Lepisosteus oculatus: one gene and its partners. The protein of the gene in region 1 purifies or fractionates together with the protein of each later gene. This does not show direct contact. Links are inferred from orthologs where the notes say so. Each region holds a gene or a part of one and is shown in the gene's direction. Other genes may lie near its edges.

Region 1 (10,486 bases):
GGGTGACTTGGGAGCCCTGTGGACCCTACAGAGCAGAAGACTGTTCCTCCAGCGCTGGGCTGCGAGAGAGCCAAGGACACAGTAACTGTGAGCCTGGCCACTTGTTGCAGGCATTTATTTTTCTAAGCAGGGAAACACTGAAACGCTGCGGGCTGCTTATGTTCAGATCAAAGAAAGTATCAGTGGCTTTCTCTGGCCTCTGGGGAACTCATTATGAGGTTCTATTTCTACGTATGGTCTTTGCACATACAGTACCACTGTGGGAGTTTGTGACCTACATTCACAGTGTAACTGGTTTCCAGTTTTAAATTTGTATTTGCTATCAGTCCATGGGGACGTAGATCTCCCTTTGCACGATAATAATCAGCTGTTCTTCTTCACGAGTCTTGCCAAACATTTCTGTCAACTTTTCAAAAGATATAGCTCAACTCCCAAAGAACTTCCAAAGAAAAAAAAGCAAATAAGTACAGAAAACCTTAGCAAAGGACAAATACAGAAGCATGTTACTGACAACAGAAACAATTAACAAGGACTGAATTTCCCTTAGAATACTTATTACAATAATTGAAAGACAGGGAGCATCATGGCTCGCAAGAAATGTTCTATGTGATCATTAAATGTAGGCTAATCTCTTAAATGCCAGAGATTGGACTGAATGGGGATAAAACTGTGAAGCCTAATGTAGTTTGTGCAGTACAGCTATTGCCCACTGGTTTGACCTACCAAACCTCTTTCAATGGAAAGATAGGCTTGAAGAGCATGCCTTATTTGATCCAATTACCATTATGGAACTAGACACTGTATTTAAAGGGGACACCTTACAAATAGTTCTATTTGTAAGAGTCACTTTAACAGAATGTCTAAGCCTTGTGTAGAAGGATCCACCTCTGAGTGCACCTCAGTTAACCCTACAAGTGCCTGTGTGAGAGCAATAAATCACAAATTGTATAAACTTTGAAAGTATCTGTGAGGTGAAAGTGTTTGAATGTAATGCATACATTTTACTCTCTATATTTTCATTTTTTTTGCACTGTGTACAGACAAACCCTTATCTTAACTGTCTTCCCAAAACAGTGTCATACTCTGGCTGAACTTGCTCCCTATAGCTTCCCCTGTGCACCCAATGTACCAGGGGGTATCTGCAGTGTAAAATGTGACTGAAGAAATGAGCCAGACTGGCTGTGCTGAGAAAATGCACCCCAGATGCTTGAGTAGCACTGCGGTCAAAGAGAAATATCAGTCGTTTGCAAAACTGCACAGCAAAAATACGTCCCAGCTCCGAATATTATTTGTTGTGTAACTGGGGTGGGCAACTCCAGACTGCCGAGGCTGCATTTGGTTTTGGTTTTTTAATATAGCTTAGACCTTAACCTTAACTGAACTAATGGAGAATATCAGAAGATCAACTGGCTGTTCTCCTGGTATGAGCAGGTGCTACTCTAAGCTAAAGGAGCCCATAGGAACCTGGCACCCCTTAGCTGGTGTTACCCACTCCAGATATAATCTGTGACATCAGAAGACCTGTCCATAAGTTTGCCTTGTTAAATTACTGAAATGAGTATTTTTTTCAGTTATTTCATTACAGACTTTTATTAAAAACACAAGAATATTTTAATAAAAATATTTTGTACAAAATGGGAAAATTAGATCTAATTTTTATTCTTTAAACGGATGTGCGTTGTTTGAAAATTAGACTAAGCTTTTTTTTTTACTTTTCCCATTAATACCATTATCAGAGTGGATCTGGCTAGCAATCATATGAGTGCAAACCTGATCAGACACAAATCCCCACAAAGGGAAATACGTGTGTGCTAATTATTATCATTATAAATACCACAGCAGTTAAAAACTAGAGTTTCTGTAAAATAACACACTTGCAAGACTTTAGCGACATGGCCTTTGTGGGCAATAAGACATTACATAAAGATTTCCTTAGTGCTCTTCTAGAACAATAATAGAGAAGAAAATCGATTAACCCAATACCTGTTCAGTAATTTTGAACTTCACCAGTTAAATTACCATAAATGCTCCAAAATAAGTGGAATCCTCATTCAAATACACAGAGTGGATGTCATGAACCTTCAAAATGAGCTGGTCCCCCTGCTGCAGCTGGAACAGTGCCCCCTGGTGGCTGGAAACTAGATCGCGTTCCAGCTCCATGTTCCAGCATCCAGTGGAGGCAGCCTTAGAAAGAAGGATAGGCTCCTGGTAAGATGTCTTCCTGTATATGTAGTGTAGAAAAGGCTGGGCCTGCTCCTTGCCAGCTGGGCGCTGCGAGTGGTAATAAACCTGGGAATAGACAAAGTAAAGCCCATCTCGCGGCACCACTATGCCTCCATCCTGACTGTATCCCATCATGCCTTCTTGCACGGCCATGCCATTCACATTGTCCCAGCGTACAACGGCTCCTCTGGGAGTCGTCATGGGGCCCCATTGACTGCCTGTGGAGTACAGAATAAAGACAATGAGCAACAAGCTTTCCTACGGAAATCGAACAAGACACTAAATGCAACACCGTCGTGTAAAAACATGCTCCCACCTGGCTTTAGCCACAGAAACTGTCTCCAGCCCTGCTCGGGGCCCAGGTGGATGGCTGGTTTGTTGGCGTGGGTCAGGGACACATTGTGGGCTGTGAGAAATAGATGAAAACATCACGGAAAGAAGTACCTTATAAAAACCCCACATTTGCCTTGCAGATGGTCTGATACTTATCACAATGCCTACAGTACATGCTCAAAACCTCCAACTTTCGTTCGTCTTCTTGATCTCCAGCATAAACAAACGAAGCACTGTGCTTCTCAAAAACATGCCGCAGTGACTCAGTGCAACTGTCGTGACACTTGGGCGGAGCGGTGGCTCTGTGGTTAAGGATCTGCACCTGTGGCTGGAAGGTTGCCGGTTCAAATTCTGTGGTTGGCAGAGGAATCCTACTCCATTGGGAATTGTATATGCCTACTAAAGTGATCTTTAGGAGCAGTGCTGGGCAAGGGAACCTGTTGGACAGGATTCTGACAGTGTGCTGTGCCAATGAGGACAGTGATTTGAATATGTTGCAAAACAAAAACATACCTGTAAGCTCCTGATACAGGGTGTTCCTGACATCAGATATCAGTTGCTGCAAGACAAAACAACAGGCTCCAGTAGTCAGCACTAGGACGAGAGCGTGTATGTGGTGGACTGAATGACATATCCCACTTGTCTACGTCACTTATTTCTCTCTTGCTTGGGACTGCAAGGAGAAGGGAGCATTACAGATCAGGACTCCCATTGAGAATGGAATTGGGTGTTTCTGTTCTGTTATAATAATTCTTTACACTTAAATAGCACTTTTCTGGACACTCCACTCAAAGTGTTTTACAGGTAATAGGGACTCCCCTCTACCTAAGTGCAGCCAGATGGCACCAGTACACTCCCCACACACCAGCTCTCAGTGGGGAAGAGAGCAGAGTAATGAAGCCAGTTCAGAGATGGGGATTATTAGGAGGCCATGATTGGTAAGGGCCAATGGGAAATTTGGCCAGGACGCCGGAGTAACACTCGTCGAGATTCTTTTGAGAATCATCCTGGAATTGATAATGACCACAGAGAGTGAGGACCTTGGTTTTACTGAGTGTCCCTATCACTGTAGTGGGGCATTAGGACCCACACAGACTGCAGGAAGAGCACCCCTACTGGCCCCAATAACACCTCTTCCAGCAGCAACATTAGTTTTTCCAAGGAGGTCTCTCATCCAGGTACTAACCAGTCTCATTCCTGCTGAGCTTCAATGGGTCGCCAGTTGTGAGTTGCAGTTTGATGTACTGTAGCTGCTGGCTCGTCTATTAAGCTCTCCTTTCCCTAGTCTTGGTTAGTCCAGCGTGAGTGAATCACTGCCTGTTAAGTGGGAGTCTCGTTACCTTCCCGATAGTTTTCTTGAGCTCCGCATTCCACTGGTCACAGCCGGCAAGGTCTTCAGAGCTGAAAGATGCATTTTCTCGAAGGCCTGGATCCACTAGGTACTGCAAACACTGTACAGGATACTCTCCGAGCCTGGCCACCTCCTGGGTCTGGATAAGTGAAGTACAATCAGAGGCGTAATTGCAAACGCAGGACGCATACTTCTGCTCTGTAACCGGGCGGTACAAGTACCTGCGCCTCTTGTGTTTCGAATGATCAACATGGACTCAAAATCACAGTTCATCTCACTTTTTTTTAGATAACGATTAACCCGGTAGTCATCAAACAATTTAAAAGTTTTTAAAACATCTAGAAAATGAGCGGCTTATATGCACAAAAAAAGTAATTCATAGTACAGGAAATCAGTATTCCGACAATAAAAAACATATTCAAGCAAACTAATGTTCCAAAATAGTTTTCATCGCCGTTTTATTCTCTGTCTCCTAAGTGAAGTCCAGCCAGAACTGAAACTGATCTGTTGCTGAGCAGCGCGTACAAAAGTCCACCGACATTACTGTACCTTCAAGGAGTTCTGTAAGGATGAGCAAAGCCAGTTTTTACTGTTTAATCAAGAACAGTGTGTATTAATATGATAAGCTTACCTGCTTTATTTCCAGAGCCAAACTGTAGAACAGATAGGCAGCCCCAACCACTTCCGCTCCGAGTAAAAAACACAAAACCAAAACGAAACTATTCCAGCTCCCGACGCTCAGCTTCCTCTTGGGCGACAATTTCTCCTCCAGCTGCCTGTAGATGCGGTGGGTCTGGGACTCGGTAGTCATGTTTCTGTCGTGGGGATCCACATCGTTATGATAACTCAGCAGCAAAGATTAAAAACAGGGTCTACAGAGAAATGGGAGCCCCCCCAGCCGCCTTACTGAGCCCAAGCAAACCTGCCCGTTACAAGAACTGCGGTCCTTCCCAGTCGGAAAGTCCCGAGCGCAGTTAACGCCTCCTGAGTCACTGTGGGTGGGATGAACGTTTTCGGAGGCATTGATTTATTTTGGTTTAAACCTTTAACTGCAGTTATTTCTACAATTTTAATGCTAGCAATTAACAACAGCGACAACGAATATGATGATATTATTTTTTTTTGTTTTTGAACTTCACAGGTATGCATGCATGAATGCGTTTTGTCGCAGCCTGAGAAAATGTAGACAACACACAGCTGACCTGGACCTCATCTATGGCCATCGAGATAAGAAAGATCGGTGAAGAAAACTCACAGCGGAAAAAAAATAAATAATGTAGCGCACGCATTATTTAGAAAACACAACAAACTATCTTTAAAATTAAGACAGAATCGAAAATTGTAAACTACTTAAAAAAACGAATCAGAGGACAGGGGATGATTGGATTAGCAGAAATGAAAAAAATGTTCTCAATCTACATCATCAAAAAACCCCAACAACAACAGAACCTGTTCATTCTCCGAAGACTTCTTATTCTGGAGAAAATATAGTTTTGTTGACTATGATGTCCTGCCACCACTGTTGCTGTATTTACAGTATATTGTACATTATTAAGCAGTACAGTACTATATTCATGAACAGACTTGTTTGCTCTCTTTGCAGTCGTGAATAGTGGGCTGGTTTACTGGGGGAAGGTTCAAATTCAACCCTATGGAATTTGCAATATATCCATATGTCTGTTTATATAGGATCCGCCCCCGACCTTCGGAAACTTCCGTCAGTATGTCTGGCTGCTTCGGCAATTTCCGTACGCGGGTCTGGCGGATCCGGCACAGCGATTGTGTTGTCTCGCCGTGGTTATTCGGTTCCCCTTTCGTGTGTTTCCGCGAAGACTCGGCACTTGTCGTAGCGGAAGGGGGAAAGCCTTTGCTGTGATGCCGCTGGAAAGATGGCCGCTTTCGGGATCCTGAGTTACGAGCACCGGCCCCTAAAGCGGCCGAGGCTCGGGCCTCCCGATGTTTATCCGCAGGACCCCAAGCAAAAGGAGGTGAGGAAAGGGGGCTCCGGGCTGTCTGAGCCCCAGCAGGGCACTGGAGGGGGTGCCCGAGCGGGCTGGCTGGGAGTCGGGCTTGCAGGAGAGTCCGAGGATGCAGCCTGGGCCTGTTTTGTGCTTCAGTAACAATAACAATGAGCAGATACACAGACGTGAAAAATGACATTAGGTTCTTGCAAAACTGTTTGAGTTTTACGTGCAGCCGGAGAGCTCAGTAGCCGCTGTTGTACAGGGACTTGTAAAAATAACACCAGAAATGCTGCTCACCTTGTGTTTTTTAATAATTTTATATGCCCAAGGTGGTTTTCTGCCTTAAACATAGACGCTGTGCTCCAGTGTTTATGGCAGAGATGGGAATATTCCCGAGCAGGCTGAATACACCACAGCAATGTGTTTTAATTATGCACGGAGCTACGGTTATCAGTAACTGAGTGCAGCAGTGGTGCTAAATGACGTGACGAGCTGTTGTGCACTAGCTCTGTGAGCCTGGACGCCGGTTTGTCGTTGAGAAGCAGTTCTGCTGTCCTTCTAACCAGTCCCGTACAAGAAACTTTACAGTTTCAGTGCGGTTGTGATCAGCCTTCCCCAGATCGTACCGGGGTGACTGACGGCGCGAAGCACTTCAGTCGCTGCCCCTTACGGTCTGAGAGACGTTTCTGAAATTTCATGTCTTATTGCTGTGTGAATAGCACACGTAGAAGGCGTCAGAGGTCATTTATCAGTGTGGAATAGTGTATATAATATACATATATATCGCACTACTGCAACGACATAGCTTGCTGCCGAGGTTCTTGCAGCCCAGGGCACTTGTGCCAGCTGGTTTGGAAAAGAGCCCACCAGCACAAAGCAGGCAACATTAGATAACTCTAAGGAATGGTTTTCATTTTCAGTTTGTAATCACGACAGTCTTGTCATTAAGCACACTGCTGTTTATATATCAGTGTGGAAAACACTAGCTTGTCAGGAGTCTGCAAAGTAAGAGGCAGGGGGGCAGGTTTGGGTGACATTTTAGACGAGACACGGGGAATGCTTTCCTTTTTTGTGTACAGCTCGGTGATCAAAGTTGTGCCTTGTGGGATGTCCTGTGTCTATCGTCAGTGCAGCTTTCACACTCCGGTGTTTGCAAACGAACGGCCAGTGTAGCCCGTGCGCCGGTGGGGGAATGGAAGTGTGTAGCACCTCCTGTCCCAGCCGCAGGGTGGCGATGACAGTGCTGTGCTGCTGGCCACTCAGTCTTGGTGCTTTATCCCGTCAGGATGAGTTGACAGCTCTGAATGTGAAGCAGGGGTTCAATAACCAGCCGGCGGTTTCGGGGGACGAGCATGGCAGCGCCAAGAACGTCAACTTTAACCCCTCCAAGGTAAGGAAGAGTCCTCAAGGTTTGCTTGGCCTGCGTTCTTCAGTGCCATCTGGTTGCAGCAGTGTGTGCCACTGTAGGAAGCAAAAGCTCTCATTGTCTGCTGAATTTGTGATAAGTTGACATGGGTTGATGGAGTTGTGTACCTTTTTGTTTCTTTGGCTTTACTGTAAACAGAAGGGCATTTGTGAACATGAGCTTTTGAAAGATAACAACTTAACATCGCCACTCTGATTGTCTTTATTTCACCTATGTGCTGTTTTTGTAATTGATGTTATTTGTTTGGTTTTCTTTGCTTCTCAATAGATAGTCCTTTAAGTAATACTTCAGCTTTCTGTCAAGTTATGGGATAATAATAGTGGAAGTCTCTAACCCTTTTAGTCCATCCACGCTTCTGTTACAGTATGAATTCAGTGCTCATTCGGTTCACGTTCTGTTCACAGATCAGCTCCAATTTCAGTAGCATTATTGCAGAGAAGCTGCGATGCAACACGTTCCCCGACACAGGAAAGAGGAAACCCCAAGTCAACCAGAAAGACAACTTTTGGTTGGTCACTGCGAGATCCCAGAGCTCCATCAACAACTGGTTCACAGACCTGGCTGGAACAAAGCCTCTCACCCAGCTTGCTAAGAAGGTGTGAACAGTCAAATCCAGTTCATCATGCTGAACTTTCTCAAGTTATACGTTAAGTGTTATGCTTGGTACAAAATGCATTTTTCTTTTAAAATGAAAAGAACACAACTTCACATGAAATGTAAAAAACACATGTAAATGTGTTTATGGAACTTCAGTCTGAATATGTAGATAAAATAATTCTGAAATTAACTGCATGTAAGGGAGAATGATGAAAGCCATATGTGCCTCTGAGAGCCTTTGATTCCTTTTTGTTTGTCCTTTGCTTTGACCAGGTACCCATTTTCAGTAAAAAGGAGGAGGTTTTTGGCTACTTGGCCAAGTACACTGTGCCAGTAATGCGTGCTGCATGGATGATCAAGATGACCTGTGCCTACTATGCAGCCATAACCGAGACCAAAGTGAAGAAGAGGCATGTGATTGACCCCTGTATAGGTAACCACTCCTCTCCCTCGTCCTTCATGTCAGTGTTGCCGAGCTTTGACTGATGTGAAGCTGTTGATTAGTAGCATGCTTGTAGCGGGGCTTTTGGAACTCTTTAGGAAGAAGACAAATGTTTTTTTTGTAAGATGTTGAAAGAGTTTTGTTTTCATAGCCTTCAGCAGTCCGGGGCAGGATCTGATTTCACCTCGGTTACTTAAAGGCTATACAGTGTTAGTTGTGCATTTAACTGCTTCATGAAGGACACAGTAAATATAATTCTGTTTGACCACAATGCAAGATGTTCCCCTTGAGCCTGTAGTTTTTTTATCGTTGTGCCCGTGTGCAGAATGGACCCAGATCATCACAAAGTACCTGTGGGAGCAGCTGCAGAAGGTGGCTGAGTTTTACCGTCAGTCGTCCAGCCAGGGCTGTGTCTCTCCACTGCCCTCCACCCCAGTGGAGGTGGAGACGGCGATGAAGCAGTGGGAGTACAACGAGAAGCTAGCCATGTTCATGTTCCAGGTCAGATGAATGCAATTCGGCTTGTCCTCCTGGAGAGTGTAATACAAAACTCTTCCAGACATTTAGTTGTAATCAAATATTTATAGATGTCTTATTATATTTCCCTTATATATTAGTGTTTAGTGTTCAGAAGGGTGATCACTTTTCTTCCAAGGTCCTCCAAAGAGTGTTAAAGGAAATAATGGATTATTCAGGGATGTGACATTCAGAGCAGGTCATGTGTTTGGGGAAAAGGGTGTATCTTCGGTGCTCTTGGAGGTACAGTAGCTGTGTTGGGCCGGTGCAAACTGTAATTGTGTAAAATGGTGTCTTATTTGTGCTGCCCGGTTCGCGTGTTTTTAGGATGGCATGCTAGACAGACACGAGTTCCTCACTTGGGTTCTGGAGTGTTTTGAGAAGATCAGACCAGGAGAGGATGAGCTGCTGAAACTGCTTCTACCGCTGATGCTGCAGGTAAGCTGACACAGGCGCTGGTCATGTAGTTGCAAGAACATTTTCCCAGGTTAATAATAATAATTGCTTACACTTATATAGCGCTTTTGACACTCTACTCAGCGCTTTACAGGTAATGGGGAGTCTTCTCACCCTCCACCAATGTGCAGCCCCACCTGGATGATGCGATGGCAGCCATAGAGCCATAGAGCGCCAGTATGCTCACTGCACATCAGCTATCATTGGGGAGGAGAGAAGAGTCATGAAGCCAATTCATAGATGGGGATTATTAGGAGGCCTTGATTGGTAAGGGACAATGGGAAGTTTGACCAGGACTCCGGGGTTACACCCCTACTCGTTTCGAGAAACGCCCTGGGATTTTTAATGACCACAGAGAGTCAGGACCTCGGTTTTACGTCTCATCCAAGGACGGTGCCTGTTTACAGTATAGTGTCCCCGTCACTATACTGGGACATTAGGACCCACATGGACTGCAGGGTGAGCGCCCCCTGCTGGCCCCACTAACACCTCTTCCAGCAGCAACCTTAGTTTTTCCCAGGAGTCTCCCATCCAGGTACTGACCAGGCTCATACCTGCTTAGCTCCAGTGAGTTGCCAGTTGTGAGTTGTATATTGATATGGCTGCTGGCTTAATGCTGATCACCAGCGTTTCACAGCGATTCCTAATCCAACTCCAATGCTGCATTTTCAGATGGTATCTTTCCCACAGTGTTTTCCTGTTTCAAATAAAAATGTGTCCAGCCCTGTGCTTGTTAACGGTGTGTGCTTGGCCTTTGTGTTGCAGTATTCTGGGGAGTTTGTGCAGTCGGCCTACCTCTCCAGAAGGCTGGCCTATTTCTGCACGCGCCGGCTGAACCTGCTGCTGAGCGATGGGACTGTGGGACCAGGAGCTGGGGGGCATCAGACCCACAGCATCACGGCTCAGCCAGGCAATGCCTTGCCACCCACGCCAACCCCCCAGCCTGCGGGGGGCAACCAGCCGCAGACTCCCTTCACAGACTTCTACATCTGCCCCCAGCACCGGCCCCTAGTCTTTGGGCTCAGCTGTATGCTGCAGGTAAGATGCTTTCTGCCTCTTGGGGTGTTTACCAGCACCTCTTTACATCTGGCAATTTTTTTTAATGCTGGGAGTTTCGTTTCCCCTGCACTGCATTGACCATCATCACCCAGCCTGTAATTTGTTTTTCCTGCACTGTG
Region 2 (10,592 bases), on another chromosome or scaffold:
CCAGTGACAACAATCTCACCCTGTCCACTGCACTGTAACCTGGATTCGCATCATTACACAACAGCGGTTCTTGGCTTTTAAAGAACGCTAATAAAAACCTTTTTAAACACTGTCTCACATACCGCAGATTATAATGAGATGTAGACGTGTTCAGATGAGTTGAGTTGGAAAACAAATCTCTTCTTTGAACTTCCAGCAATCTGCTGCTTCAGATTTCAATATGACTGTTAATATAAAACTTTACAGTTTTTGAAGTTCTGTTCTCACATGCTTTGCTATTGTATTGTAATTTGTAATACTGAAAATTGAAGCATGTATTCAGGTCTTGTTGTCCAATAAATGAAAAGCAGTGCTTTTTGTGATCAAGCCCAGACTGATGAAGCAGTACAGCAGTGCACTGTATCTGGCACCGCCTTCTTTTCTTCTAGTTTTAGACAAAATTTCTAGTCTTTTGAACAGAAAGAGCCAGCAATAGTTGTTCCCATCACTATCTTGAAACCAGATTCGCATTCTCTGCCTCTGGAGTTTAGAACTGCCTCCCAGTAGCGTGCAGATAGTTTGGCTTTTCCGGGAGACACATGAGAGGCGGTGCACATCTGGAACCAATCAATTACTCTGTGTGCCTCTGTCTGCACTCACACCTCTGGGCAGGGTCCCGCTAAGCTGTCCAAATGCAAGAAAGCAAGCTCTTTCCAATGAGAGGCATGGATTAAGCAAACCCATCCTGGCACAGACATACTGTATGCTGTGGGTGCCAACTATTTTCATTTTTGGGGTTTGAATTTCCCAATTTTTCTCGTCTTTTTGACTTGTTTTTAGAAATCCCAGTTGTTAAGTCAACTCAGCCCTCGGTGCAAACGGCAGAGTAGTGTGTCAGGGGATTCCTCTCTGTCAGCTCAACGGGCTGCAGCAGAGCCCCTGCAGTCCAAGTTTCAGGCTGCAGCCTGCTATTTTTATTCAGCTTGACAACACTGGGAAGGCAGCTAGGCACACTCACTGGCCAAAATATTAGGAACATTTGTCACTAGTCCCCTGAATAAACTCATTTAGCTGCAAACAAGGCATGGTTCCCTTGAATAACGCGAGGCAGACTTCCACCGCTTTTCCCAGCTTGAACTGCTCCCAGATCTCGGTCCCGGAGGACAGACGAGACGCTGGCGGGGTTACTCGCAAGTTACCCATCACGACATGGGCTAAGAGAAAATCCTGCTTGAATAAACGACCAGCAGCGAATAATTCTGAACCCTTAACCCCGAATACTGTACGTCCCATATATTAAAGTTGTTTTTGTCATTGCAAGAGTCAGAGACTGTGCTTGTGTGTGTGCGTGTGTGCTTGTGTGTGTGTGTGGGGGGGTTCTTCAAAAGTTTTGGCTTGTCCCTGTAGATTCTCTTGCTCACAAGCAGACTGCAAAGTTTTTATATTGCACTCTGGCCTCTACTGTAGGTCACTGACTTGAGCCCCCCAGTCAGGGGCCAATCCCAGGTCTTCCTCGGGACAGCTGCTATCTGGAATCTGCCCATTGCACCGCTGTCATGAAGGACCGGGTCAGCGAGGGATCCCGACTCCAGGCCTGGTTTCAGCAGGAGCTCCAATCATCACTCTCGTGCTCCTCTAGGCCCGGGGACCCCATCTCAGCGCTCCATTAAATAATCAAACCCTTCCCGACGTAATGAGAGGTTTAACTTCAGGTGTTTTCAGTACCTATAGTCCTAAACATGGAGGAGGAGGTTGAACCTCCCAGAATCATTTCAGTCACACAGCTATCATTTTCTGAGATCAGTCCCTAAACAAATACATCTGTGGATTTGTGATCATATGCACAATATTTATATATTATCGTTTCATGATTTGCAATACATTTTCACGTGGGTTTTCGGACCCTGCTTTACCTTTCATTGACGTCTCGCACATTACCATTTGTTAATTGGCGGGGAAGCTGTCGGGAGGCTGTGGCGGAGTGGACGGATAGCCGCCGGAGTGGACCGAGGCCAACGAGAATGGCAGCCGGCTCGGCTGGAGGGGGCGGGGTCACGGAAGGAGCCGAACACAGATCGGCTCTTCGGCGAACGGGGACGATGCGCGGCGGGGCTGCACAGCGGAATCAGATCGGTTGTGCCTTGTGCGTGAAGTAAAAAGCGTGACAAAACGGCCGAAGAGGCGTTAATACGTGTGACCTTCTTTTTTCTGAATTAGATATCCAGAACGACTGACGATCTGGAGATTAGTTTCCAAGAGTGAACTCTTTCCCTAAGGACTTGCTGCTTCAATGTGTCAGATAGTTTCACAACACTAACAGAAATATCCGTGAACTATTGTTTAGTCAGTGGCATGGATTGGGCTTAACGTCCTGCCAGGCCAAGTACTCTTTCTACAGCATTGGGCTGAAAGAGGTCGGGTACATTTGTCCACACGTTTTGCAATGAGCCAGTAAAGCTATGGTTTTTGACCCCAGGAAGACGGGGGACAGATTTGTCCCGTTGGAAACTGGTGAAACTGGACGCCAGCAACGCTTTCAGCTTTGGTCTTGGGGGGGTCTTAATTCACCCTCAGACGCCGAAAGCAAGGCCAAAGGTGTCGAAACGCTTCCTAACCTGCGCAGAAGACACCGATTTTACCGATTTTTAAGAACTTTATTTTATTTTCACAAAGAAATACAGGGCATCACAAATTAGAAAGCTTTACATTAATATACATACTTAAACCAGTATATACTGTATGATCACATCCCATGTTTTTCACAGCATCTTGAGATACTGTCCTATGCCCTCTATTTCCCACAGTTTCTGCTTCCTCTTTCCCTTCTCTCCACAGATCTCTGAGGTAATAGTTCTCTCGGGTGATGGACAGGGCCAGGCTACCTGCTGCCTTGACTGGGACCTCGATGCCTGTGAACACCCCCATGTTCCTCACTCTCCACGGGGCGTCTTTCCCACTGTTCACCACGGCCCAGATCCTGTCAATCACGTCAGGAGGAAGTTTGACAGGAGAGATGCCGTATATATAACGAAAGCAGCGGTCAGGGAAAATTGGGGCGAGAGAGCTTGCAACCAGTGTTCAAACTGGGCCCAGAAGGCCTTAGCAAAAAAACAGGACACAGGAGATGGATCACAGTCTCCTCCTCACCGCTGCCCACCCTAATGCAGCGAGGGCTGGGGGTGAGGCCCCTACGGTACAAGAAAGGTCGCTGGGGGGTGGGTAGCTCTCAGTGAGACTGTCTCTGTTCTCTATGCCCTCTCTGTGTCCAGGACGCGTGTGGAGTTTTTTCATGTGGATGGGAAACCCGGAGAAAGGGCTGTGCTTCTGTGCTCCTCCACCGGCGGGGCTCCCCGATTCCCCGTTTCCTGTCCCCGACAGGGGCTCTTACACTGATATTGTTCCCTTGCATTCCCAGAAAAACGGAGCACGCTTGCTTTTCTAAAGCGTGTCCCTACCACGCCTAACATTGCATTCCCAGAAAAATGGATCCCGGAGGTTATCCTACCCCCCGACCAGCGTACTCGACCACCTGACAAGTCAAGCGGGTGAAACTCGGGGAGTTTTTCCGCGTTAGCCGAGCTCCCTTCACGCTCTTGACGACCCTACCAGCGCCGCACGGTGTCCTCGGTGGAACAGCTGCGGACACGCGTGTCGATTGTACGATTCTGGGTCATTGCAAGTCTGAGCGTACCGTCCCACATCTTAAGAAGTGACGAGCGCCCCGGCCCGGGGGAATAGGATACGGTGTGCTCCCCGAAGTCGAGCGCGAGTGGATTCTCAGTTTCTCCCACGCCGGTAAAGCCTAACCGATGGGATATCTCACGAATCCACTCCCCGGGTTCCTCGCACACGGAGTGAAGTTGCTGTTAACAGTGTGCTAGTGGCAGCAGTAGGACCAGCAGCTACAGGGGCGGAGGTAGAGGAACGAGCTGTACAGCAGGGGCCGCTGCAGTAGCCGCACTCGCAGTCAGAGCAGCTGGAAACTGGGGGTGTCGGCTTGTGCTTAATCCCGATCAGGGGTTCCCAGGCCTGGTCCCGCTGAGCCCTCAGTTACACATTCAAACCCTTCATTGACGTAGTCATAACAATAAGACGAATGTGAACGGTTTGCTCTTAAGCATATGGGAGCTTTAACCGTTGTGTTTTGTAAGTGAAATAAAATCCCAGACTTGTGGCTGGAAACAAAATGCAAATAATTCGATTGGAGCAGCTTCTCAGATCCAAGTCCGGCTTCAGTCCTATCAGCAGGGGGGTGGGTCGCCAAGTCCAGGACGGGGATCCTCTGTTCCTGTTGCTGTAGAGCGCCTTTCCGTCCGAAGGTGTGTCAAACCGGCCTACCTTTGCTATTTAATCTTTCCTGTCTGCCCTGTCTTTCTCACACCTGAAGAAGGCTTCACAGCCGAAACGTTGTGTTTTCTCTCTTCTCTTTTCTGTAATAACCTATTACTTGTTCCTCTGCAGACTACGCAGGCTGACGCAGTTGACTTAAACGTTTTGAACACGCAAAGGAAAAAGCAGCGCCAACGTGCTCTAAAAACACGGGACATTTAAAACATAAAAACCGCGACTCGCAGGGCCAAGGATAACAAATCCCAGCCAGGCTAAAATAACCGGAGAACAAGGAGCCGGGGCGTCGGTGTACTGAATTTATTTTTCCTCATCAGAAAGCCTTTTAGCTTCCCAGCATTAGTGCAGAAACTGCCCACTTTCGGATTCATCCAACTCTGCAAACAGAAATGACAGAATTCGTTTAAAATGGATTAACATTTATAGCTTATATTAATGCGCTGTATTTTTTTAAAGTCACCTTGGAAATGAGCGTCAGTCAAGCAAATACTAATTGCAGTAATACATCTATGAATACATATTAAACACTTTCTTGGACTGTCCTCAAATGTACAGTATTTGTGCAATTTCCACAGACACGTTAAATCTTAACACGTGCCTGTGTTATATTTTGCATACGCAATAACGATAACGCATATCTAAATGTGCTGGAGGGGCCCAATGCACTCCTCGTTTCTAACCAGTCCTTTCTTCTTAATATAAAACACACATTTAGGGGAGTAGTTGCTTTTAAAACAAGTCTGACGTCCGTGATATATACTGTATACCGAGCCCGATTTTTAAATGTCTTCAGGATGTAGTCGACTGCATCCTAACGACTGCCCCCTTACTGTCATAATGCAAAATTACACCCAGAAACCAACCTTGTTCCGCGTTTTATGAGGTTTGTTTTTTAAAAAAAACATGAATCGTAACACCATTGAACGGAAACTAACGGTTTAAAAATACTCGAAATGTTCTGAAAAAAAGTTTTTGGTTTTTGGAAACGTTTAAAACATTTTCTATAAATACATGCACATTATAGTGTTCGTAATATTTGTGGAACTGTCTCAGTTCCAGACCGAATGAGAATTATAATTTTTTTGTAAGCTTTTAGGGGGGAAAAAGTCATTTTCTTTGACGTTCTGGCAAAAGGATGAGGTCCCACCGAGATTTGAACTCGGATCGCTGGATTCAAAGTCCAGAGTGCTAACCATTACACCATGGGACCAGATATCTGCACAGCCTGTAAAGCCCTAAGAAAAATAAAAGTAGAATGTTTTTTTTCAATGTACAAATAATACTGGTCGAAATATTTATAAAACACCCATAAAAAATAGAAACATATAGTAACTTGTCCAATACTGTATTTGAGATAATATCGCCGTGAAGGAAAAGGCATAACAAGTTCAGTTTATTCCAAAACTCTTGAATGCGAACGTATGTGATACACGAAGGTTACATATTCTTACCTTTTAGTAAAACTGAGCTATATAGATGGAAATGTCCGCTGTATTTTCCCTTTAATTATGAAAATACAATATAAACCAGTTCGAACACACGAAGCGAACATCCGGGAATCTAAACTCTGAGAACCCGCTTTCAAGAGCTACGCTGATTGGTCCTTCCAGCCGTCAATCTTACACTGTAGCCGCACGGGTTAGCCGGTTGTGAGAAGTATATGCTCTGATACCTGATAAAACATTTGTCTTTAAAATATTGAAATGCGAACAAACGTTTTTTTTCTTGGAACTTCGAATATCTGTAAATTTCTGATATTTTTTCGGTATTTTTGCGGCTTTGCTTTCGCCTTTGTTCACTCGCAATACACTTGACAACACCAAGATGCCCTGTGCAGCTTCACAGTTCGAAATAACTTAACGGTTACCGGCAAACTTCTTCAAAGCAAGGTCAGTGAAAAAAGTTTTTAGAAAAAAAAACGGTTTGTAAGAATGGAAATGGTTTTCATATTTTAGAGCGCTTTTTTTTCCAAACGAAACAAATGTACTAAAGTCGTTAACATTTCCAAATTTGGGGAATGTGTTTTAAGATACCGTACAGGGGGGGAAAAGGACGGTTTCCTGAAAAAAAGTATATTGATCTGTCCGGGGGCGGTGTGGTTGCTTTTATATCTGTGTTTCCGGCAGGAATGCCGAATGATTTCTTGGGCTAGCGACACGGGACCGGGTCCTGTATACAGGTTAAGTCATTTCGTCTCCCAGCTGATATCGAGGACGAGAGACGATGTGTTGTCTCCTTGTTCCTTAGGACCACAGGTTGGGATGCGACCTCTCAGCCCTACTGCCATCGCCGAGGGTTGATGAGGCGTGAGGGGCCCCGGCGGTCCACCTGGAACACGGATCTGCATCCAGACCTGCCTCGGCCCACACAGACGCCTGGAGAGCTCGGAGGGGTCTGTAACATCATGTGGACCTCTGGTAAGTTACCCACTGCTTTTCAGACTAATAATGTGATGGATACTTATGGCTGGGTTTACTGTGGTATACCAGTGGAGATCCAGCTAAAACACGCTAAACCAAAGTTATATAGCAAAGCATAGAGCATCTTGATAATTTTTTCCTCCTTTACTTCTGTATCACGTTTTGAGTTTTTCACGCTGAGCAAAATTTGTAAGTCCCAGAATGCTGCACTAATTGGTCAGAGTAAACTACAATTAAAAGCACTGTGCATGGCTGGCTTTCCAAGGCATCAGGAAAGCCTTGTTTGCATTATTTCTGACCTCTTGGCTATTTAATGGAAAAATTGAGTTTCGTGAAGTGGGCTGGCCTGGGTTTTATGCAGGTGGTGATTTAAAGAGGCCAGCGAAACATACAGCCTTGGGCTCGAAGAAGTACCTCATTGCCCTCGACTATTCTTTAAAGGATATATTGGGAGTGTAGCAATCTGCACTTACAGGGTTAACAACAACAACAATAATAAAAAGATTCATCATCGTCTTTTATTTTAAAAGTGCCTTTCCAAACCCAAGAATGCTGTATATAGTGATAAAAAGACAAAAAGTACAATGAAGAGTAAAAGAAGAAAATAAATAAGACAAATTAAACAAAAATGTCTGGCGATCAGACAAAGGCTTTGGTGAAAAGGTGAATTTTGTGTTTGGATTTGCAGAGAGTCAGAGAATTTGTGGAATCTCATAGAGTCTGTGGAAGGTCATTCCATACCAATGGAGCAACAGCAGAAAAGGCATGATGACCAGATATCCGAAAGGATGGGTTGATTCAAGGACAGGAGTGGAAAATCTTCTGAGATTGGATGTGATTGCTTGACATTTGAAGTTGTTTTAAAATCCACTCTTGCAAAACAAAACTAGCAATTGTTATTCTTTGGTCACTTATTTGCTCAAAGTAAATGGAAGTACAGTATCAATCAAGCTAACCTGCCATGTTGTCGAAGCCGATAGTTAGCTTCTGGAAAGAAAACAGGGTATCAAGTGGGCTACATGGGCTGAATGGCCTCCTCTTTTGTAAACAGTCTTATTCTGTTGTAAAACTAATAGTATAATCACAGTGAAACAGCTTTACATGGTTAGTTTTTTACCCATCAGATGGGTTTTTCCAAGTATAGAAGGCAGTGAACTTTCTGTCAACCTTTTGCTTGACTGTTACTCCTGATAGTTGGTGGGTGTTGACCACAGCATGACTAATGTTCACGCCATGTCTAGTAAATGTTTTTCAATGTCCTTGAAATTGCAGTGAGATTGCCAAACATCTGCAGTGTCCTCTGCCAGCACTCTACAGCAAGCCTGTGGCAAACATGCAAATTAATAAACAGGCTCTGTCAGACGTTACATTATTTTTGAAAAGCAGAGTGACCGTTTGCTGTTTGTTACTTCTGGGAACTAAGGAATTCTATGCTATTGATGTGAATAGTTTTTTAAGCTCCCGTTTTTCACCTGTTCTCTTACATTTTGAGACGGAGAGTCTTGTTTTCCCTGCTGGAGCAGGGGTCATTTTTCCTTGACGGAGGGCTTGTTCTGTTACGGAACAGAAGGTGAATTAAAGATTTAATAAAACAGATGCTGCCTGTCTTGTGTTTGCCTAATCTGAGCAATTGTTGCTCAGAATCCATAGTGTATACCTTGGTTAAGCATTCAAACTTTGTTTTGCACTCCAGTGCGCATCAGCTCGTTGTTGTGCTGCTTTGCTTTCCAGGGAACATTAATATTGCATCAGATCCAGGGAGACGCTTCTTAAAACCCAAACCAGCAGCACCTGGCGGATGTCATTCCTCAGCACTTTACCCCCTCGCAGCCTGGAGCTTGCTGAGCGCACTCCCATTGCCTTCCTATCAGTTGAAAGTCTCTGTCCAGGCATCCACATCATGCTGCTCAGTAATGGCTAAGGCCAGCCTTTCTTATCTGTAGGCAATGATTGCAACACCTCATAGACTGGATTTTTCTTTCCCTAACCCTGTCTTTTCACAGCCATTCCCGAAATGTGTTCTTGGCAATGTTGGCTTTTTATTTTCCTAGAATCTTTGTGTGACTTGAATTTTGCCGCACTTCATTTTCCCTCAGTCGGTTTCCTCTGTGCACAGCTCGTAGTCCTGCTTTGAAAGAGATAACAGCAGCTCTGTGTGTTACAAAATTGAAACGAAGCATCTTTCTTTAAAATTAGCTCCCTAAAAGTTTTCACTGCGGGTGTAAACGCACTGTGTTTTTGTGAGGAAGAGCTCTGTGGCTAAGGATCTGCCCCTGTGGCTACTACTCCGGTGGGGCCCTGAGCAAGACCCTTAACCCCAACTGCTCCAGGGGCGCTGTTTAAATGGCTGACCCTGCACTCTGACCCCAAGCTTCTCCCACTGTCTGTGTGTCTCATGGAGAGCAAGTTGGGGTATGCGAAAAGACAAATACCTAATGCAAGAAAAATTGTATATAGCCAATAAAGTGATCTTTATCTTAAAGAGTTGAATGTAAGCTGAAGTGTGATGATGTTGTAATGTCTTGAGGTGGAGATACTATAGACAGATGGAAGTATAAGGGAGGGCAGCTGGGTGGCACTGTGGTGAGCATTGTTGCCTTGCAGTTTTAGGGCCCTAGCTCAATTTCCAGTGTGCTGTCTGTGTGGGGTTTGTATGTTTTCCCTGTGTTCACATGGGTTTTCTCCTGGTGCTCCAGTTTCCTCTCATAATTCACAGACATACTAGTAGGTTGATTGGCTTCTGTAAAAATTGGCTCTGGTATGAGTGCACACGTGTTTGTGTCTGTGTACCCATGAATGGATTGGCATCCTGTTATATATCCTGAGTATATCCTGCCTTGCGCCTGTTACTTGCTGGGATAGGCTACATTTCCCCCAGAACCCTATATTGGATAAAGTATTTAGAAAATGGATGTATGGGAGGAACAGAAGTATTCATTTGCCCACAGTCCTTGTTTAATCGTACAACAAATGGAAATGTAGTCATGCTATCTGTCTGTTTGCCCATTCTTTCATCAAGGGATTTTGGCCATTTTAATGGAAACATTGCATATTCCATCTTGACTTTTCTTCCTTTTTCAAAAATGTTGAGGTTTTGAAATTTTCCAGCACTAAGTGCTTTACCATAGAGCTCCATCAGCGTGCCACCCACACATGTCAATTGTGAAGCAATGCCCTTTTAAAGGCTTCCAGGAAAGCTTTAGCTTTGCAAGATGTTTGCTTAAAATACAAGGTTTCAATTGGTATTGATTTTCCTACTCAATATTTTTTATTTGCCCAGAATTTCTGTTTGTGTAATTTAAAAAAGTTAATTGTTGTGCTTAAAATCAGATGATGGAATGTGTGATGTTCAAGATGAAAGCATATAAATCTGAACTAGCAGGTTACTGCTCACCTTGAGCTTTGAAAGGCCGTGCTGATTTGATTTGTGAAAGCCTGTATACAGAGAAGCATAATTGAATTGCTAGCTATACCAGCGTGTGGTGCAGATTTCTAAAGGAAGCAAGTGCATGGCCTTGTTCGATGTTTGGTTATTGAAGATTTATATAACAGAACGGTAGTTGATGTTCCAGCTTGTGACAAACTATTCATTTGACGACTTCAGTGTTGAATCAAATGCAGAATAGTTCATGGGACTCATTTGCTTTCAACTTTAACAATTGAAGGTTTGATTTCAGCCTTTTTTATGTGTTTACAAGGAATGTTTTGTGTGTTCTGTTGAGGCATTTCAAATTGGTAAACAAGTTTAAAAATGTCATTAAAATATAACTCGTATCTTCTAAATGTGCTGCCTTTAAAGTCAGTAAGCATGAACCAAGACATCCTCCATGTACGCAGTAACAACGC
Region 3 (11,609 bases), on another chromosome or scaffold:
CACAGTAGTAAGTAATCATTATCAATGAGTCATATACCCAAAAAGTAAAACTAACAAGACTTGTTTGGTGAAATTATCCCAAAAGGAAACATCTGCACAGTACTAGTACTGGCAGGAGAGAAATGCAATGAATCTCCTTGTTGCGAAAGTGCTAAAAATATTAAAGTGAAAATGCCAAAAGAATTGCAGCACCAGAACTCAATGCAACACTTTCTAAAAGACCTACCTTATCTTATGGAGAAACTACACAACATCTGAGCAATTCAGTTGCAACTATAGTCGAGAAAAAGTTTGGAATTATCTGGATTTCTGCATGAATGGCTCCTAAAATGTGATCTGATCTTCATCCAAGTAGAATCATCAGTGGTTCTCAAACTCTTTGGACCAAGTACCATCCCTGATCAAACCAAAGCATCCAAGTACCACCTACATAGAAACCCCAGAAAATCTCAATGACCAACATGAGCACGCACACACACTCAAAATAACAAGAGCACTGAGCACTTGGGCCGTACCGCCTTGTAGCCGTTTTCGGACGCTTGCCAACACTAGCAGTGCTGTCTGTCGGGCTCAGCAGCAGAGCCAGTGTTGGTGGCTGATGTGTAATCCTCCTCGCTCTCAACAGGTGTGCGGGATCTATCGGAGCTGGGGACAGTACTCTTGGTGTCTACTCCTTTCAGCCATGACATGGTACTTGATTTCTGTGACATGTTCACTTTCGATCGTTTGTTCTGTTGGCGAATGTGTGGCTAAGCTGTCTCTGAAAGCTCGGGAAGACTATGACCACTCAAGTATGAGCGCGCACTGTATCAACGTAGCTAAGTAAATAGGCTGTATTTGACAGAAACTAATTTTATTACAACAGAAAATATGAAAACCCATCTCAAGCTTTCTGAAGGCGATTAAGTAAATTACAGATGAAAAATGTACATAATTTTTCATTCCCAATTTTTCAGTGCACACAATAAATTTCCAGGGTCATCAGCCGTACCACCTGGGGGCGCTCCACAGTACCAGTTTGAGAACCACAGATCCAAGTCCTAATAATAAATAAAGACTTATTTAACAAACACACAACCGTTTACATTGTCTTATCTTTATTGAACAAATGTTTTAAACAATCAAGATCATTGATGGAAAACGTATGTGAACCTCTAGGATATTGACATCTTGAAAAGAGATTGGAGTCAGGTATTCCAATCAATGAGTCAGCTGTTCCAATCAATTTAGGTGTGGGCTTGATCTGCCCTGCCGTATCAAACAATCACACAGTTTTGGTTACCTGCTCTTCATAACAGAATTGCAATATGGCCCGATCAAAAGAGATTTCAGAGGACCTCAGAAGAGAGTTTTTGAAGCTCATAAGACTGGAAAAGGTTACAAAAGGATTTCTAAAGACTTGGGCCTCCGTCAGTCCACAGTCAGGCAGGGTTTACAAGTGGAAGAAATTCAGCACTGTTGCTACTCTCCCTAGGAGTGGGCGTCCTACACAGATCAGTGCAAGGGCACACCGCACAATCCTCAAACAGGTGACAAACAACCCCAGGGTGACAGCTAGGGATCTGCAGGCATCTCTTGCACTTGATAACGTCTGTGTTCATGAGTCCACCATGAGATAAACACTGAACAAGAGTGGTGTTCATGGGAGGTTACCACAGAGGAAACCACTGCTCTCCAAAGAAAACATTGCTGCCCCATCTCAAGTTTGCCAAAGACCACCTGGATGTTCCACAGCACTACTGGAACAATGTACTGTGGACAGATGAGACAAAAGTTGAACTTTTTGGTATATGTACACAGCGTCATGTCTGGAGAAAACAAAACACTGCACACCAACACCAAAACCTCATCCCAACTGCGAGGCACGGTGGAGGGAGTATAGAGGTGTGGGGCTGCTTTGCTGCCTCAGGGCCTGGACGGCTTGCAATCACTGAGGGACCAATGACGTTGTATCAGGAAATTCTACCGCACAATGTCAGGGCGTCTGTCTGCGATCTACAACTCAAGAGAAGTGGGGTCATGCAACATCGCAATGATCCAAAACACAGGAGTAAATCAACAACAGAGTGGCTCCAGCAGAAGACGTTCCGGATTTCAGAAAGGCCAAGTCAGAGTCCTGACCTCAATCTCACCGAGCTGCTGTGGCGTGATCTGAAGCAGGCCGTTCAAGCACTCATCGCGGAAATATACATGAAGTGGAACAGTTTTGTGTAGAGGAAGGAGCCAAAATACCTCCCAACCGCTGTGCAGGTCTGATCAGCAGCTACAGAAAGTGTTGGGTTGAGGTTACTGCCAATAAAGAAGGTTCCCCTCATTACTTAATATAAGGGTTCACATACTTTTTCCATCAATGACCTTGATTGTTTAAACCATTTGTTCAATAAAGAGATGGCAATGTAAAATGTGTGTTTGTCAAATAAGACTGGCTTTATTTATTCTGACTGAGATGTAGATTAGATCACATTTTAGTAGCCATTCATGCAGAAATCCACATAAGTCCTAAGGGTTTTTTATACTGTAGGGGGATGCCTATTTTATTCTGAAGAAAAAAACCACTTCTATCCATCATCCAGAAAGCTGGATTTGTTCAGTTTGTGTGAAGGAGAAAAAATGCCGAAGCAGCGGCAGATGTTCTCAAGACGCATGAATATATGTGCAATTCCAATCAAGCTTATACTGGGGTTCAACAAGGTCAAATGTCTAAATTCTTCAGTGCAGCAGAAACGTTAACAGTTTCAACGGTAATGGAAGAGCTTCCAATACAGCGTTAAAAGGGAGGAAGCAGACTCACCTCCCTTATAACTCCTTCCACTGTGCTGTCTAACTTTGTTCAGGTCTGTGCTGTACACGTTCGCCCCTGACTGCACACTAGCGCATGTTACGCCACTAGCCTTCCTTGAGAGCACTGCAGGGTAAACCACGGAGAGCTAAAAAAGGCCAGGGACACTCGGGCCGTTTCCTCATTCCAGCCTCCACAGAGGCTATAAATAACACGGTGGCATTTCAGGAACCGGAGGAGCCAATGAGCAGGGGAGGCCGGCTGCAGACCGGCACAGTCGCGGATCGCTCGGGCCTCAGCGCGCCGGTGACAAACACTCATGACAAACAGGAGGCCTGCACTGCACTGCACAACAGGCGAGCAGAAAAACACTCGGGTTTTGCACCCTACTTTAAAGGCCCTTTTCTGGCTCTGAAGACACACTGGAAAGGGAGAAGACCAGCTGGTGAGGCGCCAGTGCCCAGCCTGGCGACGGGTCCGGGCGACCCCCTGTGCAACCCCCCTGGTGCTCACAGAAACGCCGAGCAGAGCCTGGCGGGCTGGGTATGGGATTAACGCTCACCCTTTCGCTGCCTGGAGGCTGCACTCCTGAAATCAAAGACTGGATTTCCTTAGACGGCTCTTCTACTACACCCATCCCCTGAGGGTGGCTGGACTGGGCCCCTCCTGTATGCAAAGTGCTTTAGAGTCCTCTGCAAAATACGCTATAAAATAACACACTGTCAGTCCGAGAACCACCTGCTGCTCGCCACTAGCCGAGAGTGCGAGGAGACCAGAGAGAAAAGAAAAAAAAACACACAAATCTAAAGCAAACTCTTTTCTCGCCCCCCCCGAAGCGTGCTCGGGGCGAGCCATGTGCCCCCTCGCGTGGAAGCGTCTGTCGCGACCCGCCCTCTTGCACACGGAGGGGGTGGGGTGGGTGGGGGTGTGCCTTTCAGAGCCGCCCGCGATGATTGAAGGGCGCACCCGGCGGAGCGGAGAGGGGCGGCCCGATCGCGCCCGCAGGACTGCCCCCGGGAGCGGGGAGGTAAGTCACCGCGGCCGCAAGCACCGCTCCGCCACGGGGGGGGACCGGCCCGGCCGCATTCCCGGGCCCCCTCCGACAAGGGATGGATCCGCCGACAGTCGGCTCCACGCAGCCCGTGGGGGGAGCCACGTTTTGCCCGTGCGCCCAATTGCATTCACTCGACTGCCCCCACGTGTGAAGCCCGTGCGTTCTCTCCCCCCACCCCTGACTCGCCACTTTTCTTTCCCGTGGCACCGCCGTCTGTCACAGCCCAGACCACTCTCTCGCCCCCCCCCTCCAACTGGGGGAGGGAGGGAGCAGCGGGCCTGCAGTGGCAGTAAATCACCAGCGGGCACCGGTGACTGCGCACAGAAAACCCACCCGCGATCCCCCACGCATGCACGCACACGCATCGCTGGAGACCCCTTCGCCGGCTCTCTCCCTGCGAGGGAGCCCGGCTCCACCCCCCCGGGGAAGGCGAGCCCGGGCGACCCGCAGCGGCCGAGCCCCGCAGGACGAGCGGGGGACAGGCTCGGGCCGTGGGAGGGAGGGGGGGGGTGAGAAGGGGGGGATGGTCTCGGTGCAGAGCCAGCAGCACACGGCTCTCCCCTGGCCGCCGCCGCGACGCGGACACGACACCCGACCCACGACACGCACCCGGGGCAGCGAGGCTTCAAGGCGCCACGCAAAACGGATCGCCCGCTGTCTCCCCACGTACATACGCACACGCACCACAAATGAAAAAAAAAAGACTCAATCGGCCCCGTTTTTTTTTTTTAGGGGATCGCGTTTTGCAAGGAGGGGGGTGCGATTAAAAAGAGCACAACCGAGCGCAGGGCAAAGGCTGCCGTGAGAGGGACCGCCCGGCCGCACCAACCTGGGGATGTTGCGGAGGTCTCCTGTCCCCTTGCTCTCGTCCTGCCGGGAGAACCACACCTCCAGCAGCTTCTCCGTCCCCTCGAAGAAGTGTGCACCGTTCTCTTCCATCGTGAGACAACAGACACCGACAACAGAAATTACAAATTACACGTCGGGGTGGTGGTGGTGGGGGGGTTTGGTGGCTGTAATTTTTCAGATTTGCGTTAATCCTGGCGAGGTTCGGATAACTTAATGAAATGGTTAATTCAGTCTTGTGTTGTTTTTTTTAAGCAGTCCAGGTGTCGTTTGCTTGATTTTTTGCCGTCTTCCCTTTGACAGAGAATACCGTTTAGCGAGCGCTAGCTAATGTCGCCGGCCATACTGTGTAGAGCCGCGAGCGCCGCTCGCCCGGTGCTTTTATTACCTCCCTGGCGACGTCACAAGCGGGCCGCGGCCAATCGGGCGCCTCCGAGCCCATGGGCGGCGCGCCCATTGGCTGCCCGCCGTGCCAATAACTCCCGACAGGGGCCCGCCTCGGCCTACAGTTACCTTGCACACGCGAGGGGCAGCTGAGAGGTTCCTAATACCCCGCCTGTTTGAGTGTGTGCTTTCAGGAGGAAGCCTGGCCTATTGCGAGCGTTTGACACAAAAGTGACATAAGGTTTGTGCAAGATCTGCTTATTAGGTCTTGGGGCGAATGCAACGCAATCGGGTGGGATACGCATTGCACCCTAGCCCATTAAAGTAACCTTTTCCTCGGTAGGTAGGTGCAAAGGTATGTTGGGGTTTTGTTTTCAAATTGTTATTAAGTCTGGCGGGGTTCATCTTCAAGTTGGTCTTCACGCATAAGTCTGCACTCTGTTTTGTTTTGTTCTATAACATCTCATTCGACGTGTGAAACACAGCCTTATTTTTTGTGACCATTAACTTTTCTCTGGAAAACGCCGCTGGAGAGCGTTCGAATTTGCTGGATGGATTGTACTGTAAATCTCCAGTTCGTACATACGAGGAATTGTAAAAACAGCATTTATTTCAGTAGTTCCAGCTACTGGACTCATCACGTGCACCTTTTTAATCACTGTTATGTTATATCCCATATGGTGAGACATTATAAGTTATATGTTAGATATTATACGTTATATGCAAAATTTCTGATAAACCACTTTACATAGAAGAGCACAATGACACTCCAGTTACTTTGGAGTTTATAATGCAAATGTTTTGTTGAAAATGAGCGGCCATGAATTGGTGTTATCAGATAATTTTATAAGCCATGGCGTGCTGTTGACACAAAATACGATATACTGCACGTTACTGAGAGATTGAGATGTTTTCAAACAAAATAGAGTCTGGGAAACGGCGTCAGATGTTTAGAAAACGAGAAAAGCTGTATATAAGTACCACTGAATGACGGTGCATTTGTAGGAATTTAACCTGTACTAAAAAACTCAAGAAAAAAACAGTAACAGAGATGTTCTCCATACACATTAAAACTATAATTTACAATGATTTGCGTCCTGCAGCCAGGTTATTAATTAAATTCATGGACTATTGGAATATACGCGTTGTACGTGTAACGGCTGAATTATAAAACATGACCTTAAGTTTTCAAGCAGTTCTCAGTAAGTTCAAACATCTGCTGTCACTGCTGCTTTCACCAGCCACACGCCGATCGGAACTTCCGCCCCCGGCCCAGACCCCAGTTCGAGAAAACAAACGGCAAAGGATTGAAAACCATAACGACAGTCCGCCGCGCTGCAGCGCGGAAACTCGAGATCGGGGGGTGTTCAGTTCTGAGTACATGTGAGATCTTTGCATCCATAGGCTTCCCCGCAAGTACACGTGTTTCACCGACAAGATGTTAACGTGCAACGCTCTGGACCAATTAGATGTGCGGTGCCTCTTGGGCAGGTACTACTGTGAGTAATGTTACGACAGACTACCACATGCACAGAATTAAAAGGCAAAGGGTCACCAGTCCCATTCAGAACACACATCTAACGTGAAATGCACACGACTATTATACGCCCGGCTAAGAAACGGGAGCACCGACTTCTTTCTTGTTTTTTTTAAAAAAAAAACCCACAATTGCGATTTCTGCTCTTGGGGTGACCTCTCCGCAGAAGTAACCAAGTCACGGTGTTTTATAACAAACTGGGGGGGCGGCATCCGCACGCGATTAGATAATCGCGGGGCATTTCTGAGCCTGGGAAAACAGGACGACTTTCACGGTACCGGCCACACAGCGGCACTGACAGAAGACCCACCCCCTTTAAAATACGCGTATGCGCCCATTCCAAGCCTTCCACTAGACGCGGAAGACGGACATATGTAGAGATAAACATTGAAACATTAGCCGCCGATCCCGTGCTGCTGCATTTTTGTGGGGGGTTGTAAACCCCGACTGCGCAGGCGCGCCGCCCGCAAGGGGTTGGCGGGGAGTGTAGTTTCGGGACGGCGGGGGCTCCGTTAGGGTAGTCCGCGGGCCCCGTGGGTAAGAAAACCACAACCCCCAGAATGCAAAGCGCGCTCACCCAGAAACGTCAACGAGCCAGTGAACATTAAGCGGAGCAGACCAAAATCCCAAACAAGGAAATGATGGGGGAATTGAACGCTTAGATTATTTAATTAACACATTTAATAATTAATATTTTATTTTTGTTGTAAATTAAGAAGTATTTATGGGTTAAAATGGATTACGATTTCAAAACGAAGCTTGCAGCCGAGAGGGAGAGAGTGGAGGATCTGTTTGAATATGAAGGTTGCAAAGTGGGTCGAGGCACCTACGGGCATGTTTATAAAGCCAAGCGCAAAGATGGGTAAGAAAAACAACTGACATTATGATGATTAAAACCCGGTCATTTTACATGCATGTGCTGCCCCGACTGGTGCTGAAACAGTCACAGGCTTCTCCGACTGGATCTGGGGGTTATGCATTCCGGCTCGGACCCTGTCCCGGTAACATGCACACCAAATGTTGATTTTCTGTCACTCCATGTCAAGGGGATTGCACGTAGCTTAATATGGACATACAACACACTTTAATTATCCCCTACAGAACAACAATTCACCTTGGTCTGAGCAGGTCCTCGGGGGCGTCTTGAAAACTTGGAAATCTGGTCAGGCGATCAGTGAATTGTAGCGTTAGGCTGAGGCGTGCACGGCGCTGGAAATGTCACGCTGTTTTTTTCTGGAAACAGATGTACTAGAAAGTTATGGTCTTCTTCAACCCCCCCTCCCCCCACGTTTTCAAGTGTGCATCCTCTAAGCTAGCGGTTGAAGTTGAAAGCACTGTCGTCAGGCAATTATCTGCGCGACGGGCACATAACTTGCATATTTCAATGCGGTCCCACGAGTCGATAGGTGCACACATGTGAAATAAACGTGATCAAGGAGCCTCACTGGGAAGTTGGTTTGGCACAGCGATGTTGCTCGTCAGCCCAGGGTAAATGTTACATTTCAGTGGTTGGCTCAGTCGGTCTGAGATTCACGTGGAAATCGAGGTCAACCGGGTACTTGAGTTACTGTGTTGCAGCGGGAGCACGATTTGGTTTCACGGGTGCACAGTCATCAAGTACCGGTTCTGCTTGGAATAACCGAAATAAACATTTGCTGGCCGAAAAAAAATAACCGGATAAATAACACCGTGAAGTCTCGGGCGGCAGAAAGTGAGCAAAACTCTGCCGCCGCCGCACCGTGACACAGGCAGTGCACAGTTTCTGAATCCGGGTTTGCCGCTTCGACACTTTGTCTGCAGGCCGCCCGGAAAGAGACGGTACGAAACACTGTTTGGGTCAAGTGCATAACTGGGGCGTTACACGTCGAGGCCCCGGTTAGCTCCTGAACTATTCCCGTCTCTTTCGGGGTTCTTTTCTTATTTTGTTTCAACCGATACCTCGATTGTTGAAGCTTTCGTCGGCCTGTTTGCCTTGTACACGGCACCGTGTCGGAAGCTATTTTTCAGAATTCCTCTCGTTTTAAGGTTTATTGTCTTAAGAGAAAATGTAAAGAGTGTCCGTACAGATCAGACCCCCTACTGCTTCACTGCTGTCCCCTCCTAGTGGTTTGCCCTCCTCCCTGGACTCTTCACGACCTCTTTTGAATCAGTTGTTTACTCAATGGGTCTTTCCTGTCAGTGAGGTCTAGATCACCCCAAGACCATGCAGGCCCAGTTAGTGACTAACTTCTCAGTCCAAGTTCACACTAGGAGGTGTCAAAAGGCACGTCTGTTTAGGTCAAATGAGCTTAAATGACTGTTGCCCTTAACAAAAGGCTGTCGCACCTGTATGTGTGTGCCTAATATTTTCTTCTGGTGTCTGAAACGTTTATTATGTTTACAGTTAGTTTCTTTTTCTTCCCAACCTGCTTGCTCAGGGAAGAGAACGGTTTGAATTCATGGTGTGGTTTAAATTTCTCCTTATTTTCCAAGCACTCTTTAGATGCATACGCCAGTGCAGAAGCCTGAAGTGTATCTGTTGGTGTATAGTGTCGGTCAGTACCAAGCCGGAGGCATCGCTGAGTGCTGTTTAAGCGTCTGTTGAGGAGGTGTGAGTTAGGCTCCTGTAAGGAAGCACAGGGGAGTCTAAAACCAGGTAGCAGGGTTGAGAGCAAAATGCAGTGAGAGTTGAACCGGAGAGCAAACTGACCTTGCTGTGTTTTTCTCCCAGGATTCCTATTTTATAGAGGTAGATACTTGCTGCAGCTTTGTTTAAGACTGGTTGCATGTCTTACATAGGTATTAGTGTCAACCGGTACCTGTACTGATACAATGGGATTCTTACTTACAGAAAGTCTCTCGATTGTTAAAACAAGTGTAAAAACACAAAGTGCAGCCAGTGCATCAAGACAATAGAGAAACAAACAGCAGACAATGGACAAGTAAACAGTTCGAATGTAAACAATGCAGACATGAATCCATGATGGTTAAAATGCTGTAGGGTTTTAGAGTTGAATAAAGCTCCTTTTTCTTTTTTTTCATATTTGTAGTAAAAAAAAAAATCCTGAAGTTAGCATATATCTGAATGTAAATTGTACATTGCTATGATTGAGAACGGGTAAAATATTTGACAGCAGGAACTGTAACTAAGTACGATTCCTGTACTAAGTGAAGATGATTGGCGTCCCTTCCAGGGTGTATCCTGCCTTATGCCTGTTGCTTGCTGGGATAGACTCAACAGGCAGATAGCAGCCTGGGAATTGAACCCAGGTCCCCAGTGCTGCAAATCAGCAATTTTAACCACTGCACTACTGTGCTGCCCCAAGACGGGTTCAGCATCTATTAATTACTCGTAATGTTTATCCACATTTTCAAATGGGCTGAGTGATGTCTTCTGATCTGTCACCTCTCTTCATCCTGAGCAATGTAATGTGAAACTAGCGCCGAACACGATTCTGTCGCAGCTACGGTATGTAATCACCAGCCTGGCGATTACAGTGATCTGTCGTGAGCAAGCTTTCAGTGGAGGGCTGGGCTTGAAGCAAGCAATGCAGGAAATGTAAACATGTTAAGTTGTGACAGCTGAAAGAGCACAGCAGGCACCTAACAGGAGTGGAGAAGGTGAAAGCAATTAAGGGGAGTTGCGGTTTTGCATTTGCTAATGCCGACAGACCTGAGCCTTGTCTCAGAATTTAGGCAGTTTTTGAAACAAAACAAAACATTTAGCCATGGTCAAGACTGGTCAAGCCATCACAGTTTGTCGTGGGACACCGATTGAATGTGAACACGTACTACAGTAGTAATCTGTTATTCCAAGCATGATGACATTTAACTAAAGAGCTAGTTTGAGTTGGAAATGTGTAAATGATCTGAAATAAAGCACCAGCAATGTTTTTGTTTGCTCCACCTTTAAAAGGACAATTCTATTATTTTATCATCTCTTCAGTGGGTGGATTTTATCATGCCAGCTTTATTATTATAAATAAATAATCAATGACTTTAGGGCATCTGCACCTCATAATTGCTATCTAATTGTTTTAGGACACTTATGGAATGTTCCTGCACAGATCTATAAGTAACTAATAATAATAATTCCTTACACTTATATAGCACTTTTCTGGACACTCAACTCAAAGCCCTTTTGCAGGTAATGGGGACTCCCCTCCACCACCACCAGTGTGCAGCCCCACCTGGTTGATGCTCACTGCAGCATCGCCTGGGCAAAGTGGCTATTGGTATTCAGCTTTTAGTTGTTGCTTTGAAAATATTTTTGGCGGCACTTCAGCATTAGATAGGCACATAAAGGCGTAAAATAATTTTCCTGGTCATGAGCACAAAGCTCTTCTGGCAGTGATGCGCAGAAATGACGTGAGGCAAAAATAACTCCTTGTGTTGTGGCAGTGTGTGGCTGTATTTCACCTGAGATAGCGCCTGCTGGCAGGCCCAGGGCTGAGGTGGCACTGCCTTTTACACAGCAGCGTGACCAGACTGACCCCTGACCCCTGACCCCTGACCCCACGTCTACTGCTACTCCCACTCCTAGGTGACAGCTGGTGGCGCCGGAGGAGGGGCCGCGTGTGGTAAGCCAGGGTCCAATCTCAGAGGCCTTTTTTGGGAATTTTAAAAGATCTACACACGTTTCTAAAAAAAGTGTGCTTTTTGGACTCTGGACCAAAAGGCTGATTTTCAGGAATTCAGAGTTTGTTAGTTCAGTTAGTTACCCTTGTTTTGGACATGTGGAGGCCATCTTGTCCAAGGCGCCATCAGTGGGGAAAAGGTTACATGGAGCGATTGGGTAATTTATCTGTCGCTGTGTCAGATTCAAATGGTTTAATTTTCCTAACGAGCAGGGGGGCACAACTCTAGTCCCAGTTTCTGGTTTCTCCTCCCACCTGAGCCCTTTATTACCTAAATGAAGTAGTTATTTGCTCCATCTCAGTCGAACGTGGAGAAGTCCTTTCAAGTCCTTAAGAAGCTGGAGATTGAAGGGGACCTCTCTGATGGAGAGCAGCCCCTGAAGATCAGATCTG

Evidence for each region.
Region 2: the proteins of med12 (region 1) and vitamin D3 receptor B purify together in Homo sapiens (affinity purification with mass spectrometry; 3 studies listed by BioGRID, with this or other methods). This does not show direct contact. The link is inferred for Lepisosteus oculatus from reciprocal best matches to the Homo sapiens genes MED12 and VDR.
Region 3: the proteins of med12 (region 1) and cdk19 purify together in Homo sapiens (affinity purification with mass spectrometry; 10 studies listed by BioGRID and IntAct, counting the BioPlex papers as one, with this or other methods). This does not show direct contact. The link is inferred for Lepisosteus oculatus from reciprocal best matches to the Homo sapiens genes MED12 and CDK19.

What each region holds. Positions count from the first base shown.
Region 1 is NC_090703.1:52,280,421-52,290,906, forward strand, and holds the start of med12 (mediator of RNA polymerase II transcription subunit 12), read left to right. Parts: upstream 1-5,712; 5' UTR 5,713-5,796; coding exon 5,797-5,895; intron 5,896-7,156; coding exon 7,157-7,261; intron 7,262-7,701; coding exon 7,702-7,893; intron 7,894-8,167; coding exon 8,168-8,327; intron 8,328-8,661; coding exon 8,662-8,837; intron 8,838-9,179; coding exon 9,180-9,290; intron 9,291-10,073; coding exon 10,074-10,346; intron 10,347-10,486. Other genes in the region: tnfsf10l4 (tumor necrosis factor (ligand) superfamily, member 10 like 4), read right to left, coding at 2,011-2,441, 2,540-2,629, 3,070-3,115, 3,897-4,046, 4,539-4,718. UniProt on the Homo sapiens protein: Component of the Mediator complex, a coactivator involved in the regulated transcription of nearly all RNA polymerase II-dependent genes.
Region 2 is NC_090696.1:16,679,904-16,690,495, forward strand, and holds the start of vitamin D3 receptor B, read left to right. Parts: upstream 1-5,984; 5' UTR 5,985-6,215; intron 6,216-6,573; 5' UTR 6,574-6,743; intron 6,744-10,592.
Region 3 is NC_090697.1:5,168,920-5,180,528, reverse strand, and holds the start of cdk19 (cyclin-dependent kinase 19), read left to right. Parts: upstream 1-7,031; 5' UTR 7,032-7,334; coding exon 7,335-7,462; intron 7,463-8,082; exon of another isoform or gene 8,083-8,311; intron 8,312-11,609. Other genes in the region: amd1 (S-adenosylmethionine decarboxylase proenzyme), read right to left, coding at 4,663-4,772.